Caenorhabditis elegans: one gene and its partner. The protein of the gene in region 2 binds, or shares a complex with, the protein of the main gene of each other region. Each region holds a gene or a part of one and is shown on either strand. Other genes may lie near its edges.

Region 1 (8,616 bases), on a different chromosome or scaffold from region 2:
TTGGAGATTTGTAGAGTTACTGTACTTTGTAACGTAGTTCTACTAACAAGTTTCTAAATAAGATGTTCTATGGTCATCCAAAACAATGACGAGAGACAAAAAACCAGCCAACTTTCGCCCCAAAATAATGAGACTAATAAGGACGCTGGAGCAAGATGAGCGTACAAAATAGTACTAATTAGTATTTGGGTCACCACCATCACTTTGTCTCTCGAAAGAAAAATAAGTTGAATATTCTAGAATCTCGTTGGAAATTCTGTAAGCAGCGTTCCATACACTTTAGGCACGCGATTTCCAGGATTTTTCTGCAGCAACAGCAGCAAAAAAAAAAACGGAAAACCCGGAGGCGTAAGCTTTCAGGAAATTAAAAAGTAACTCGCCGCGTGTGCAAACACGGAAATGCGCAGGAAATTAGGGAATTGAAATTGGGTCTTGAAGCGAAAACATGGGTGGCAATATGGGAATGTGTGAAAATAGTAGGGGATATCCATTTGGGAAGTCTCTCTTGAAGAAAAAAACAATTATGTCCTCCTCCCTTTCTGTTGCTAGTAGTCCAGGAGAAGAGAATAAGGGGAAAAGCAAAACGTAGTACAAATGAAGAAGGAGGCGAGGGTGGAAGGAGAGTTGTTGCACACACTTCCGTTTAGTACCAGCTGCTCGTAATGCTCAGGCACAACAATTTTGACGGTGCCAGATGTACGAGACCTTTTTGATGTCTATATACATAATAAAAATAGGAAAGAATTGAGTTCATCTAATTTGAAAAACTTGTGCACATAGATCAGGGAGTTTAGAAATCAGAATCATACAGAAAAAATCGTTGAAAGGGTGAGGTTGATAGTGCGAAAATAAATTGTAAAGATGTAAAGTTACCTGATTTTCAACAGTATGGATTATGATATTCATGGGGGAGAAAAATGAAAAATGCGGTGATAATGGTGGCGGTGATGAGCTGATAGAATTTAGAGCATTAAACAGAAATGAATACAAAAAATACACAGATACAAATTTCTAGCTGAAGAGAATTGAAAGAATGAGAAAATAATAAAGACTCGGGCATATAAAGGATGTGTGGAAAGATTTGGAAGGGAAAAGTATGAAGATACATGAATAAAACTGAAATAAATTATCTATAAACGACCGTTTATTCTTTGTTGATGCCGGCGATCAAGTTCCTCGTCGTCACTATCACGACCCGTCTCAATCTCGTTACGCGTAAACTCGGCGAGCACTTTAGCTGGTTGCAAAGGTCGCCGTTCGGATGCCCGTCTGCAAACTCTTTATAACATTAGTCGGCGTTCGTTGAATACATCTTTTGAAAGGGGGATTCTAATTAATTTTCTGTAATGGAATAGATAATGATCAAGAATTAGTGATCACCTATCACGGGAACACCAACTTCTGAGTATGCGTATTGCACAACATATTTTTGACGAGCAAAATATCTCGTAGCGAAAACTACAGTAATTATTGTAATGACTACTGTAGCGCTTGTGTCGATTTACGGGGTGCATCTCAAAATCGTAAAATTTAGTTTAATAGGTTTAAAAAATGTCTGAAATCTTATCAAAAATTTTTTCAGGGGGGGAAAATTTTCTGAAAGAAAAGAAAAATTGTGTTTTTTGATGCTTTAAAACTTTCATTTCAATGTCCGAAATCATCCAACTATTCATCACTTTTTATGAACATTGTCGCTTTTTTTTTGCTTTCCGAAAACTCAATTTGCATTTATGATCCTCAAGGGATACACTTTTGCTCAACAAGTCAAGAATATACATTTTGGTGTCGCAGCTCTTTCGGCTTTCACCACTTTTACCACAAAAAAAGGGACTTGGGACTACTGACAATGGCAGCTACGTGCCATTTTCTGGTGGCAGTGCTATTTTTTATGAATTATTCAGGGACCGACTACTTTTTTTCACATGGCTTCTCAATGAAGTGTGTCATATGTCCTTTTGCAGGCAAAGGAAACACTTATAGAGGGATCCTTGATTCAAAAAAAATAGATGAAAACGTTACCTGATTATAGCATTATTCTTTTGTGGTCGAATTAGTGGTTGTTTCTTTGGTGGAGCCATTCGCCACTCGACACGTACACTGTTGGCATTAGGACGACGGAACTGCAAGAATAAGGATGAGTTTCAGGAAGTTATCAGCAAAGAATTCCAAGCATTCGAGCAATTTAAGAAAATGAAACCAACAGCAAACAACATCGAGACACTTTTCATCAACAATAACACATATTTTACGTTCGTATCAATTTCTTTCAAGTTTTTTTTTCAACTTAATCTTCTTTTCTTAGTTAAAGTTGCAATACAATCTAGTTTAAAATGTATGAGTTTTTTACGGGGGAGTATAAGATCACAAGACCGACATATTGGGGGATCGATGTCCACACATCAAGACCGATACAATGCATTTTTAGAAAGTTAAATGTTTTTTTGTTGGGAAAACGATTTTTAAGTGTGAAGGGAAAATAAGAAAGGGATGTCCTTACCAATTTGAATTAACATATTTAACTGGAATTGTTTTCTTTTTTTTGGAATATAATGAAAATTAATTTGTATTTTCTAGGATTCAGGAAATCTATAAAAATCTGAGATTTTGCTTTTAATTTTTGGCTAAATTCCATGTTTGAATTCGCACCAAACTGAGAGAATTCAAATAGGGAATCGCCAAAAATTGAAAAATCTGATTTTCGAAAATTCGACATTTCATTCTTTCTCTTTTTTGGGTATTTCTGAGAATCAAACTATTCTGGATTTTTTTAAAGCAAAATCCCTACTCCATTAAAAAAAAATCGTCAAACATTAATAGTCTTAACCACTGATTTGAACTCAAGACATAAGCTTTTTTTAACTATAAAAAATATTTACCATTAAATTACGCAGCAGCCAACGTAAATTTTGAGAAAAAAGCAAAAAATTAAATTCGACATGCTCAATATCTCTTTTTCTCAAAAACAACATCGATAAAACCACACAACACGATATTTAATGCTTTCTCATTTTTTCTCACCAGATTCATCCATCGGACTTTCATAATTAATAGCTTTGTGAGCATCGCTAAGCGCAACGGCTGATTCGACTCGAGCACGTTCGCGTTGTGCACACTATTGAGAATGTTTTTTTTTTTTTTTAATTTTATTTATTTAATTTTCTAAAACTTTTGGGTACACTTTCTAAAATCTCAAAATTCAGTGTACAAAAGGCAACTGGTCTATTGGCACTTTAAACCACGTGTCTACTCAAAAGAGTGGGCGAAATACCATCTGATTTGAAATGAATTACGTAAGCAGCCGTTATCGTCTGTACGAAAAAAGAAATGTGTGATAAATGCTGGAAAGCAATAGTATCAGACATCAAGTGGGAATAATAATTAATGTTTTGTTTAAAGAAAGGGAACCAACCTTGGTACTGGCAATGTATGCAGCTTTAACAGTCTGTACAACAGCAGTTAAAAGATTTCGAGCCGTTTGAATAAGAGACATTGCAGAGTCAAGTGCAGATACGACAAGCTCATTTCCAACTTGAGTCACATCAGCTTTCACCTGAAATATTACTTTCTATTAAAAGTTTAAAGTTATATTTCACATGGTTTTTTGAAAGCAATTTAAACAAAACTTATTTATAGTAAGTATATGAACAATTTTCTAGTATAAGTGAGGCCAATCACAATTTTTTTTTCATTTTTCATGGCTTCAGTCTAGAGCTTGGTTCGCAAAAAAAACGCGAAGTAAAATTATATCTCTACTGAAATCGTTAAAAACAGTTGAAACCTCTTTTGGTGAAATATCACACTATCTATAAGTTTTTTTTTTTAATTCTCAATTTTTTCAAAAACTTTTCAGATAATTCTGAAAAATACGAGATTCTTTTCAGTTTTAGTTTTTATAGACGCGTTTTTAATTGTGAATCTTTACAATTTTCTTGAAAAACTAATTTGACAAATTTAAAAAACCCCCGAAACAAACAATTGACCAAAAACATTTGGTACGCTTTTACAGCTCGTGGCACCAATTAAAAAAACTCACCTTACTACAAATATTCAGTTGCTGACAATATAGAGTGATTTGTGACAAATATGCGAGCAAATCCTTTTTCGTCTGCGAATCAGCACTTTCTTCTCCAATCTGCCGTGCCAATGCATTTAGTTTTGATCCATTAAGTGAGATTTCTTGTGCTGCTCGGATAACATCCATTGTCGTTTTCAATGGCCCACAACCTCTTGTGAATTCTGTCATACTCATCATAATCTTACACATATTATTGGCCAATGATATAATATCATTTCCTGTTTCATCCCACTTGGCAACTTCTCTTTCGAATCGTGTTTGTGTTACTTTGAAGATATCAATTTGTGCTTGAATTTTCTTTTTCTCTTCTTCTGGCAATCGTCTCATCAGATTCTGTTGATTTTCTTGTTCGGATATCGTACGATTAGCATCTGCATTTGCTGCACCAACACCATCAGCTTCATACTCTACATCCGAATCAACATCATTCATACTTCGGTTCATTAAAAGTGCATGTCGAATGTCTTTAACTGCATCGTGAACTAATGTACAAGCATTGATAAATTCATTCATTTCTTCTTCCTTTGTTTTTGGATCCCATGTAAGTCCGTGTGCTTCTTGACGGTTGGCTAAAGCGCTCGCACGCTCAGCGAATTGATCTACACGTTGAGTTTTCAAAATCCGAACAGCTTGCTTAACAGTTTCAGTGTATTCAGAGTTCTGAAGGAAGTCCATTTCAGCATCGACAACGTCACAGACTCGGAGAGCTCGTCCACGTATCGATCCGGCAGCACAGTCGACAGTTTCACAGTTGGCCGCATTTTCATCCGGTGTTGAAGCGTTTGCCTGGAAAATTCAGTTTGAACGTCTCAAAAGTTGACGAATTTAGCGAAAACTATTTTTGTTAATTTTCATTAAATTTAAAATTTTGAGAACTAAAATACTTACCGTGATACCTTTGATTCCCCGCTCACAGTCTTCAACAATATGTGCTTCACTGACAGCCAAAAAGTCGTCCAAAGTAGTGATATTGTCAAGAGCAGTCGTTAACAATCTCACTTTGTCAAACCAAGCATTTTTATAGGTTTCCATGTTCTCTTGAGCAGTTTTTGAAGTAGGTTGATGGCAAAGTAAGATGGCAGCTTGAGCAACTTGTGGAGCAAGTTTTTCAAGTTGAGCAGCCGTATGCTGAATGACACTAACACTTTCAACATCTGATGAAAGTTGACAAGAAAGACGAGCAACTGAAACAATTTCATTTGCATGCTCTTGGAACATCTTTGAACGATATCTTGTATTCTCTTCATGGCCTTCTTTAGCAGCTTCTATCAGTAAAATAAGCGGTGTACGGGTATCCAGGAAAGCATCACTTATATGATCTACAATTGCACGACGAAGGTGTCGCCGGAGATCTTTTGTTCTTTTGTGTACTTCTGCGATTCCAAGAGGAATATCATCATTATCATCTCTTCGGCCGGTCTGAAAAATTACAGATTTAAAACATAGTTAAACAGGTCGTAATAAGCTTTAAATTTTATTGTAAAAACTTTGTAGTCTCTATATTTTCTACTACTACAAATTTTTTAAAGAATTTCCCCGAAATTCTAAAAAAAACATTTTCCATGTCTGAACTCGCGGTGGTCATTTTTTTTTCTAAAAAACGGCTTTAGTTCGAGTTCGGTTAACAAACAAAAACAGTTGTTCTCGCCCTGAGGGACAAGGCGTCACACTTGAAAGAACGCACGATTGTTTGTTTGTTTGTTCTCACCGTCTCCATCGCCCTTTTGTGAAAAAGATGCGCTTCTTTGAATGTTTTTTATTTCTTTTTATTTTAAACGAGGCAACAAGTCAAGAGATCAATAGAAAAAACTTACAGATTTTTCATATTCGGTCAAAAGTTCTTGAAGAGCTTGCCGCAAATTATTGCATTCAGCAACAATTTTTTGTTTTCGATTTTCACGAGTGCTTTCAGCATCGGCAATTGAAGCAGAACCACTAACAATTCGTTCACAATGTCCTTCAAGATCTGGACGATCAGTTCCTCGACGATAATGGGCTGGATCAATTTCGATTCGATTCTTAAAATAAATTATTTGTCTTATTATTTGAAATTTTTAAACTCACTTGAAAAGTATCGATTTCATTGATAAGATCGCCTATTCTTCCATATTCAGAAAATGTTACTTTCGGTTGTTGTCCGTTTAAAACAGATTCAAGAGCATTTAAAGCAGAATGCATTTCATCTGCAGTGTAATCACGATTTCTTCGAGCTTCTTCATGTTCTGGATGTCTTACAAATGTTCGTGTTGAAGTATACAGAAGTGGTGCAGTCTGTCGAAGTGCTGATCTTGCTGCTAGAAGATCATCTCTCTGATTTGGTTTAACCAAATCAATGGCTCGTCGTCGAACAGTGATATCAAGTTCTTCGATTTGAGAAATGAGAAGATTGTACAAATCATCTACTTTGATTTTTGTATCCGCTTCAATCATTTGGTGTGCAGTTTCTCGAACTTCATCTACTTTATCAACTATCACTTTTACATCAATCGAGTCGGCAAGAATTAGGAATTTAGCGACAGCCTGAATACAACATTTTTCAGTTAAAAGAGTACCTAAAAACTTACAGTCAACAAATTTCTACCAGAATTCGTTGCAATAGCTCGTTTGTTTGTTGAAGTTGAATCTCTGACAAAATCTCTTCCAGTTTGAATCATCACTTGCCCAGTATCTTGAACTGCTCCAAGAGCTTCGTGCAATAAATCAATTGCGCGTGGATCACTGTTTGCAATTGGGCATTTCGAAATTGCAAAGCTTCCCGTTTGAAGAAAATTAGCAACGGCAGCATCAAGAGTGGCGACAAGTCCTTCAGTAGTTTGTCCAGGTTTTAACGGAAACGTTTCAGTGATGTTGGTCACTTCATTGATTAATTGAGTAATTTGTTTCAAAACATTTTTCGAGCGCACTTCGTCGATGTTGAAATACGCATGAGAATTGCCATTCGCAGGCATTCTGAAAATTAATAAAATTGAAAATTCAGATTAGAATGCAAATAAAACGAAGAGAAATAATATTTATATTGAGATGAAATCAAAAAATATAAAAAGAAATACATAACCTTACATTAAAGTATCGATTAGAACTACTGTTAGATTTGAAGGCGCACGATAAAGAAGGGGTGGTTGGTCTCAAAGAGATCCAAGAGGGTACTGTCACCGTTAAACTTTATTGGCAAACACAGAATTTACTTATTCTTTGAGAAAATGACTCATATAAAATAAAAATCTTTACTCTAACTTTTCAAAAATTAAAAATTAAATTTTCAATGAAAAAAATAAAAAATCCTTTCGCAAAATAGCGAGAAACAAGTGTGGTGGGGCCTGTGAGGCCTTTCGGGTGTTTACTCAACGAAAAAACAAAACAATTAATAGGGGATTATGTTTCACATGCCGGCAATTTAGGAAATAACTATTTTTTAAATAAAATTTAAGAAAAAAACAAATTCGAAAATTAAAATTTCGACCGAAAATGAAGAAACTTAGTTTTTATTTGCCATGTTGAATATATGTTTCACACTCAAAAATTTTCAAATAAAAAAGTTGCGAAGCCAAAAAGTCACAAAAAGCAAACTTTTGAGGTATTTGCGAGTGAGAAGTGAATATGGTGAAAACGATGATTCCGCACCATCAACCGGTGTACGAAGACACTGTTAAATATAGAGAGAAAGAAGACACATAAAGAAATGATGATTCAGTCGGGTTGGCCGGTCGGTCAGTCAGCGGGTGACGAGTGAGCGGAGAGAAGGGTATAAGAACGGACGAGCGGCGGGAATAGAGGACGAAGAGGCAAGGACACTGGTCAATGGAGATGAAGAGACACAGACATTGGGACGGACGGAAGCAGGACGGTTCCCTTCGGGATGAGCAGAGACTCGACAGATGGAGAAGATGACCGAATTGAGTTTGTTTGCCCGACTCCCATGGATTATAAAATTGGGTACGTATGGCCTATGTTGGGGCAACTGCAGCAGCAGCGTGTGAGTGTGCGCCCCGGAAATAAAGGACTTTTATGGAAGGAGTATTGAGAAGATGATGGAAAAGGGACAAAAAGTTTCCCTTTTGTTTTGACGTCTTCTACGTCTTATTCGGAGATTTCGAGGGATAATTCTGAGGGATATGGAAGGACAGTGAATTGATGCATCATCATCATATTCTTATATTGGGTATTGAAATTTAAATTTGAATACGACCGAAACAATTTCTCGTTTCAAAAAAGTGGAATCTGAGTCATAGAGAAGTCTGAATCACGTTTTGTACACGGCAGCAGCTGTTTGTAAACTTTGAATCGCGGGGGTGAACTGAAGTGAAAAAAAAGAAAAAAAACTAGGAAAAATCAGGGAAAGTACATTTTTGAGATTGCATTTTTCTGAGAACCTGAACTTTCTCAGATGATATCAACAACATTATTAATCACTGCAACACGATCTGTGCTATTGTAAAAATATGTTCAATAATAATTTGATTTAGAGTCTATTTTGTCCCAATTTTAAGAGGTTTCTCCTGTCTAAACTTTCATAGACAATTTACGGAAATCTAGTAACTGTT
Region 2 (7,289 bases):
ATCAAATTTTGAAATTTGTTTTCTTTTCCAGAAATTCACTGCCCGGGACCATTGCTTGAACAGTCTCCGCAATTTTCCTTACCTGCCGAATTGCACAGTTCTCGGCCTTTCAAACAACAATATCAAGGAATGTACGAGAATTTTGGTTAAACAAGTTGTAAATGTGGAACATCTCGACCTGCGGAACAACTTTCTTACAATGAACTGCACATTTCCTTTGCTGTCGCTGAAATCGCTCACGCATCTGAAGCTGTCGGATAATTTTCGAGTTGCTTTTCGAGTTGCCTTTTCGAGTTGCATTTTCGAGTTGCCCGATCTTTTGCAACTTATTTTTTCAAAAGAATCCCGACGTTGAAGAGAATTGATGATAAACCGGAAAAGATGGCACCACTAGCTCTGGAAGAACATTTTGAAGATGAGGATAATAAACCTTCCAGCAGCACTTCCAGCAGCTTCTGGCGTCACATCAGTTATCAGGAGAGAAGCTTGAAACAAATGCAACCGAAGAAGACATGAAAATTTCCTTTTTTTTTACTGTTACAATACCTATTTCGTAAATTATATATATATATATATATATATCTCGTTATCTCTCCTTATATTATTTAATCCCAACATTGTATTCAGTTTCATTGGCTTAGCAAGTTTTCGATTGAAAATTTTTTTTTTCAGCCAAATACCGATTTTTCATATTTTTTTCGCATTTTTGATTGATGTTTCTGTGATTATTGGTTTTCCTATGTTGTTTTAAAAGGGTTTGTAATGTATCTTCGCTGAAATGTTTGTTTCATATTCAAAAACGGCAATGTTTCCACTTTCCCACTCGGTATCTTTTAGTTTTCAGGCTGCAGCTTCAAAAAATTGAAAATGGCGAAAATTTTAGGGTGGAATTTGTTTTCTTTTTTTTTTTCATATTTTACATAATACTATTTTCGTAATTTATTTTTTTCCCTCAAAATGTGCATGATGCGTTAAATTTTTTTTGGCATAGACTTCGCGTCCCAAATGGCGAGTAATAATTATTGAGAAGGAAAACTGTGTGCGAGCCCTTTGCAAAATGTGTGCGCACCACTTGCGGTATGCCTCATCGTGTGACTCCGCCCACATTTTCTTTTGTTTCCATTTTCTCTTTTCCCCTCAATTTATCGATTTTTATCCACTTTTTGTTTTTCACATTTAGAATTGAGTATTTCATCGCTATTCTGGTTGTTTGCGTTAAAGTTTGTCGTTCAAAATCGAAATTTTCGTTAAAAATCAAGGTTTTTATTTCAGAATGACTGAAGTCGTAAATGCCGACAAAATAAAAACGATTCGCGCGTACTACAAGCTGTGCCAAAAGCCGGAGAATCGAGCAGTCGTGCTTAAGGTAAGTCGTTAGCTCACTCAGGATTCACATGAAAATTAAATTTCTTCCAGGACAAAACATTTTTCCACACTCTCCCAACGCTCCTCAAGGACGAAAGCTCCGATGTCATCAGATACACGGTTAAAATCCTCGTTTTGCTCACAGAGCAGTCGGGGAACATCGAGCAACTGCTGAAATCCGCAGATTTACTTCCAGCATTGTCGGAAGCCTGCGAAAATATCACAAATCCCAGTGTCAACTATAACTTGGTCCTTGTCTCGAGTAGGATTCGAGTAGTGAAGAATTCGCTGGATGCCAAAAGAGCCGAGAAAGAGCCTCTAGCCGATGCGATCAAAGAGCTCGACAAGGGCGGAACTCTTCACCGAAAATTCGTTGGAAGAAAGTCAAAGCAGATTATTATGGAATTCGATGCGGAGGAATTCGATGAAACGAAGAAGCTGTCAGTTGAGAGAGGCCTTCTGAAGAAAAAAGGAGTAATCAGTGTATATATAACCGAGCAGAACTCAATTCCACGCGCCGTGCTCCGCACAATCCCGACAATCGAAGCCAAGGACATTGCGCAGTCCGTTTTCGCCGCCGCCGGATTCGAGTACGTCGCGCAGTTAGTGAAAGTGAACGGAATCGACGAGAAATTCGAGTTTTACGCGTCAGAGATGGGCAAAATCACGGAAAACTCGAAAGATTACCCCGAATATTTGGATGATGATGTGCTTCACGTGGATCCGGCAAGTTGTGTGATAACTAATGAGATGGCTGCCCATGGAAGTGGTCAAGAGGGCGGATGGTTCAGTTCGATCACTTCATTCGTCAAAACTTCCCTCTGGTGATGGAAGGAATTCTCGGATTATCTCGGAAAATCTCGAAAAAAAATGTATTAAAGTACTACGGTTTCTTCTTTGTTATCTCAATATTTTCTTTTTTCTCCTGTTTCTCGTTTTTTTTGAGATCTCTTTCTGGTATTATCACCGCACAGGCATATAAATCGTTTCACACTGGTTTTTAAATCCTCGTATTCTTGATTTTTATGTGTTTTTAAGCTGTTTTAACCAGCTCTAATTATCTATTCGGCAGTTTCAGATTCGAAAAATGCGATTATTCTCATATTTGGACGGTTGCGGTACCAAAAATAGAGGAATTTATCGGTATAAAATATCCTTAAAAATCCAAAGTCCTAGTGAAAATCTTGTTTTTGCGTTTTCATCTAGTTTCCGATTCGAAAAAACCCATTTTTCTAAATTTTCTACCTGAAACCACGTATTTTGACAGTTGCAACACCAAAAATAGAATAATTTTCCTTTAAAATCGCCACAGAAGCACAAATTCCAAGTGATAATCTTTATTTTGCGTTTTCAGCTAGTTTCCGATTCAAAAAATGCGATTTTTCTCGATTTTCTACCTGAAACCTCGTATTTTGACGATTGCAGTATCAAAATAGTGGAATGTTTTTCAAAATAGCCATAAAAGTAAAAATTCCTTTTTAGCTAGTATCTGATTCGAAAAATGCGATTATTCCTCAATTTTCAACTAGAAATCCTATTTTTTTTTAAATTTTCTACTCTAAATTTCGATTTTTCGCACTTTTCCACTCGAAATAAATTTATTAAATTTAAATTTAATTTTAAAAAAATCTTAGTTTTTGTGGATTTTTCCTGTTTAAAATGACTTTTCTCTGCTCCCACATGAAATTTGATAGTTTCAGCACCTAAAATATCGAATTTCTTTGCATTTTCTCGTCTAAAACTCACCATTTCCTTTAAAAAGTATAATTTTCAGTAGCTGTGAACTCCCAACAACCATGCTTCTTCACTCTACCAACTCTTATTCGATATTCACTGGTAAAACACAAAAAAATACAATTTTTTCGAAATTTCTTCATTTAAATTAATTTCCAGACCATGAAGTCGAAACTCGAACCTCTAGAATCCGCTCAGCGATGTTCCCCGACTGGATTCCACCAACTTCTGCTGCAGAAGCCACAAATTCAACTACAAGCATCGTCGAAATGATGCAAATGCCAACTCAACAGCTGAAGCAATCAGTTATGGATCTTCTAACCTACGAAGGATCAAACGATATGTCAGGACTCTCGCTTCCGGATCTAGTGAAGCTTATGTGCGATCATGATGAGTCAGTGGTTGCTAGAGCTGTTCATCGAGCTTATATGCTCTCAAGGGAAGATCCGAACTTCTTCAATGCGCCGGGATTCGATCATCGATCTTTTGTGGAAGCTCTGATGGCTGCGTCGAAGAGTTCCAACGTGAATGTCCGTCGGAATGCGATTGGAGCATTGTCTCACATGTCTGAGCAACGTGGAGGACCTCTTCTGATCTTCAGAAGCGGAGGGCTTGCTGAAATCATTCGAATGCTCTATGATTCACTGGAATCAGTTGTTCACTATGCTGTGACAACACTTCGGAACCTTCTGATGCATGTTTCTGATTCCAGAGCTCAAGCGAGAGCTCTCAACGCCGTTGAGGCGCTAACTCCGCACCTTCATAAGACGAATCCGAAGCTGCTGGCTCAAGTGGCGGATGGGTTGTATTTCCTGTTGATCGGTAAGGATTCACTGGAAAAATCAAGAATTTTGTACAAATTTGCATTTTTTAAAGCTATAAATTCAAATTTTCCACTCTAAAATTTCAAAAATCGGTCAATTTTGCAGACGATGCTCCATCGAAGATCACATTCCTATCACTGTTGGGACCACAGATCTTGGTTTCGATTCTTCGCGAGTACTCGGATCATCGGAAGCTCATCTATACCGTCGTCCGTTGCATTCGATCCCTGTCCGTTTGTCCGAGCAACAAACCGGCGTTGATCAGTCTTGGTACATGGATGTTTTGATTAAAAACTATTTTATATCGCATTTTTAGAGATATTTTCAGGTTTTTATCCACTGAAAAGCTGGAAATTTGAGATTTTTAGCTGAAAATACTTGAAATTCGCAGCTATTTCGAGTGTTTTGAAGCAATTTTTAAACATTTTCCTTTATCTTTCACGAAATTCCAACAAATTTCAAAATTTTTGTTCCGGTGGTTCAAAGTTTCGCTGAAACCTCCAATTTTACCCTCTTTCAGCAGGAAATTACTTTGAAATTGCGCGTTTTTTGAGAATTTTCCAATAAAAAAGTTCAGAAATTTAAACTTTTCAATATTAATTTTTTCTAGGCTGCCTTCCTGCTCTCTACGTGGAGCTCTGCACCGCAAAAGACGAGCGATCCCAGACGGCGATTCTAGTGGCGATGAGAAATCTGTCGGATTCTGCGACAAACGAGGAAAATCTCACTCAACTGATCATCAAGCTTCTCGAAATCATTCGTGTCGCCAACGATGGAATGACTGCCTGCGCGTGTGGAACATTGAGCAATCTCACCTGCAATAACACTAGAAACAAGCAAACCGTGTGTTCTCACGGGGGAATCGATGCTCTCGTCACCGCGATCCGCCGACTACCTGAAGTTGAAGAAGTCACCGAACCGGCTCTCTGTGCTCTTCGGCACTGTACTGCCAGGCACTCACTGGCTGAAGAAGCTCAAAGTGAGCTGAGATTCTGTCAAGCATTCCCAGTGATTTTGGATCAGCTGGAAACTCTTCGTACTCCAGTTATCAAGGCAGCTCTCGGAGTTATTAGAAATAGTGCACTTCTTCAAACAAATCTTATCGAGTTGACACAAGAACAAACTGCAAATGGGCATACAGCTGTGTCACTGACAATGGATATCTTGAGAAGAGCTATCACGGCGATTGAGGAGAATCCTGATATTGCTGTAGATGGAGTTCCAATGTGGGGAGTCATCGAAGGAGCTGTCTCGGCTCTTCATCAGCTCGCGAATCATCCGGCAGTCGCTGCAGCATGCTGTGATGATATTGGACAAGTCGGAAATCCAGAATGTCCACCATTCTTGGATCTTCTCCATCGTCTTCTGGCTCATCCGAGACTCGGATCCATGGATGATGAAGTTCTCGAACGCGAGATTCTTGGGCTTCTCTATCAGTTGAGCAAGCGGCCAGACGGAGCCCGTGCTGTTGAGAGTACTGGAGTTAGTGCTCTTTTAATGGAATCTCGTGGCTCACAGTACAAATCAGTCGTCACTTATGCGAATGGAGTGTTGAGTAATTTGAAGAGAGGAGATTCAGCTGCCATCATGAATATGTCTAATGTGAGGAATTAGGAAAAAAAATAAATTTTCCGTAAAAAAACCGAAAAATCGAAAGAAAACTTTTGAGCCACCACGGATTTAAGATATTGTGGGATTCCGGATCGTTGAAAAAATGTGTTCTATGTGTTGGCACGGTGATCCGGAAATGGTAGATCTAGAATCCCACCGGATCTTGAATCCGTGGGGCCTCAAAGTTTTTTAAAAATTCAATGTTTTAATGAAATATTGTCCATATGGACAAATGTTGATGAGAAAAACCATATAATTTTGTTCTAAAAACAAGGAAAATAGTTCAAATTTTCAGCTTTTTTTCGAAAAATAGAAAAAAAAATTTCAACATAAATTTCCGATTTTCGAGCGAGCCATTCATGAATTAATTCCGAATTTTCAGTCGTACGACTACGAGATGAGTGGAAGTGCTGCGGATTGGCAACGTGATGGGCTGGAACGAGAGCTTTTCGCTGAAATGTATCCGACAAACGACGGCGGACACTCGGAATCCATTAATATGGCGTTGAACAACTCACAAATGCGCCCTAATCACAATTGGTACGATACCGATTTGTAATTAATTTATCTTCTCGTATTTTTGCATTTTTTACACATAATCTGCTGAATATATCCACTGGGAATTATTATTCATGGTTTTAAATTTAATTTTTGATACTTTCAATATATTTATATTATAAATGTAATTTTATACTTCCTACTATCTAATGTTATACGTATCTTTTTTTTGGTTCTTCGGTTCCTTTTTCCTATATTTTTTCAAAAAAAAAATTTCAGACAATTTAAACGAAAAATTTCCAGATGAGTATCTGCCTTGAAAAGCAGAAAATCCGATGCGGAATGATAAGCCGGACGGCTCGACACATTGCCATCGATGAGAATAGTGGAAAAATGGCAATTGTGAGGAAATCTAGGTTTGTACGGAGGATTTATTGGAAAAAATGATTTTTGAAATTAAAAATTAAAGGTGGAGTAGAGTCAAAACAAATTTTTTGCTTAAAATGACAGAAAATATACCCAAATAACCGATTATAACTGAAAAAATGTTCTAAATTTTTTATGATTTTTCAATTTTTCAAAAATTGAATTCCCGCGAAAATAAGTGACGTAATTTGTTTATATTCTCGCGTTTTCTGGCTAAATTCTTTGGTTTTTCTTGATTTTTCTTACACATATTTAGTTTTAAACTCTGTTTCTCAAATTTTCAGGTACTTTTCCGTGAATAAAACTTGATAACCTTGGAGAAATTGGCGGAAATTTTCAAATTTGCCTAAAATTCCACAATTTAATAGTTATTTATATATTTTATTTGGAAAAGGGTTTCAAATTTTGAAAAACAGGGTTTAAATCAAATAAATCAAATATTGAACGAAAAATCAAGAAAAACCGAAAAATTCAGAAAACGCATCACTCATTTGCGCGGGAATTCAAATTTAATTTGGCCGTTTATTTGATTATTGAAGAATTGAAAAAAATCATTAAAAAATTTAGAACATTAAAAAAAAATTACAGTTATATTCGGTTAATAGGGTATATTTTCTGTCATTTGAAGCAAAAAAAAATTGACTCTACTTCCCCTAAAATCATCATAAATCAATACATATAACTAAATATTTCAGATCCTCGGAAACCCACGACTACATCGAATTCTACAACATCCTTAGCAGCTGGCTTGCAATTCCAGAACTCACCGTATGCCCAGAAAATGGCTCAATTGAGCACCTTCTATTCGTTGATAATGGAGAACTGATGTCT

What was found.
Region 1: the proteins of hmp-2 (region 2) and hmp-1 are in contact, whole or in part, in a crystal structure (PDB 5XA5), measured with the Caenorhabditis elegans proteins. Residues at the interface, in NP_001252426.1 of Caenorhabditis elegans: Ser47, Ile48, Val49, Glu50, Met51, Met52, Gln53, Pro55, Thr56, Gln57, Gln58, Leu59, Lys60, Ser62, Val63, Met64, Asp65, Leu66, Leu67, Thr68, Tyr69, Glu70, Gly71, Ser72; in NP_505985.1 of Caenorhabditis elegans: Asn20, Val21, Gln24, Gln27, Leu28, Glu31, Val32, Ile35, Glu37, Thr38, Phe39, Pro40, Leu41, Lys42, Thr47, Leu50, Val51, Thr53, Leu54, Ala57, Val58, Asn60, Phe61, Thr64, Gly65, Ala68, Cys72, Leu85, Met99, Gly103.

Annotation. Positions count from the first base shown.
Region 1 is NC_003283.11:11,844,285-11,852,900, reverse strand, and holds hmp-1 (Vinculin), read right to left. Parts: upstream 7,025-8,616; 5' UTR 7,024-7,024; coding exon 6,640-7,023; intron 6,596-6,639; coding exon 6,140-6,595; intron 6,094-6,139; coding exon 5,890-6,093; intron 5,818-5,889; exon of another isoform or gene 5,595-5,817; intron 5,495-5,594; coding exon 4,964-5,494; intron 4,862-4,963; coding exon 4,034-4,861; intron 3,551-4,033; coding exon 3,410-3,550; coding exon of another isoform or gene 3,362-3,409; exon of another isoform or gene 3,113-3,361; coding exon of another isoform or gene 3,005-3,112; exon of another isoform or gene 2,121-3,004; coding exon 2,020-2,120; intron 1,279-2,019; coding exon 1,131-1,278; 3' UTR 736-1,130; downstream 1-735. UniProt on the Caenorhabditis elegans protein: Required for cell migration during body enclosure and cell shape changes during body elongation. Required for proper localization of other junctional components, such as pac-1.
Region 2 is NC_003279.8:14,736,430-14,743,718, forward strand, and holds hmp-2 (Armadillo/beta-catenin-like repeat protein), read left to right. Parts: upstream 1-2,452; coding exon 2,453-2,508; intron 2,509-3,139; coding exon 3,140-3,201; intron 3,202-3,258; coding exon 3,259-3,921; intron 3,922-4,028; coding exon 4,029-4,193; intron 4,194-4,533; coding exon 4,534-5,525; intron 5,526-5,916; coding exon 5,917-6,093; 3' UTR 6,094-6,227; downstream 6,228-7,289. Other genes in the region: K05C4.4 (Leucine Rich repeat-containing domain protein), read left to right, coding at 32-355; K05C4.7 (Armadillo repeat-containing protein 1), read left to right, coding at 1,274-1,366, 1,417-2,193; K05C4.5 (WD_REPEATS_REGION domain-containing protein), read left to right, coding at 6,336-6,448, 7,154-7,289. UniProt on the Caenorhabditis elegans protein: Required for cell migration during body enclosure and cell shape changes during body elongation. Plays a role in recruitment of the cadherin protein hmr-1 to adherens junctions.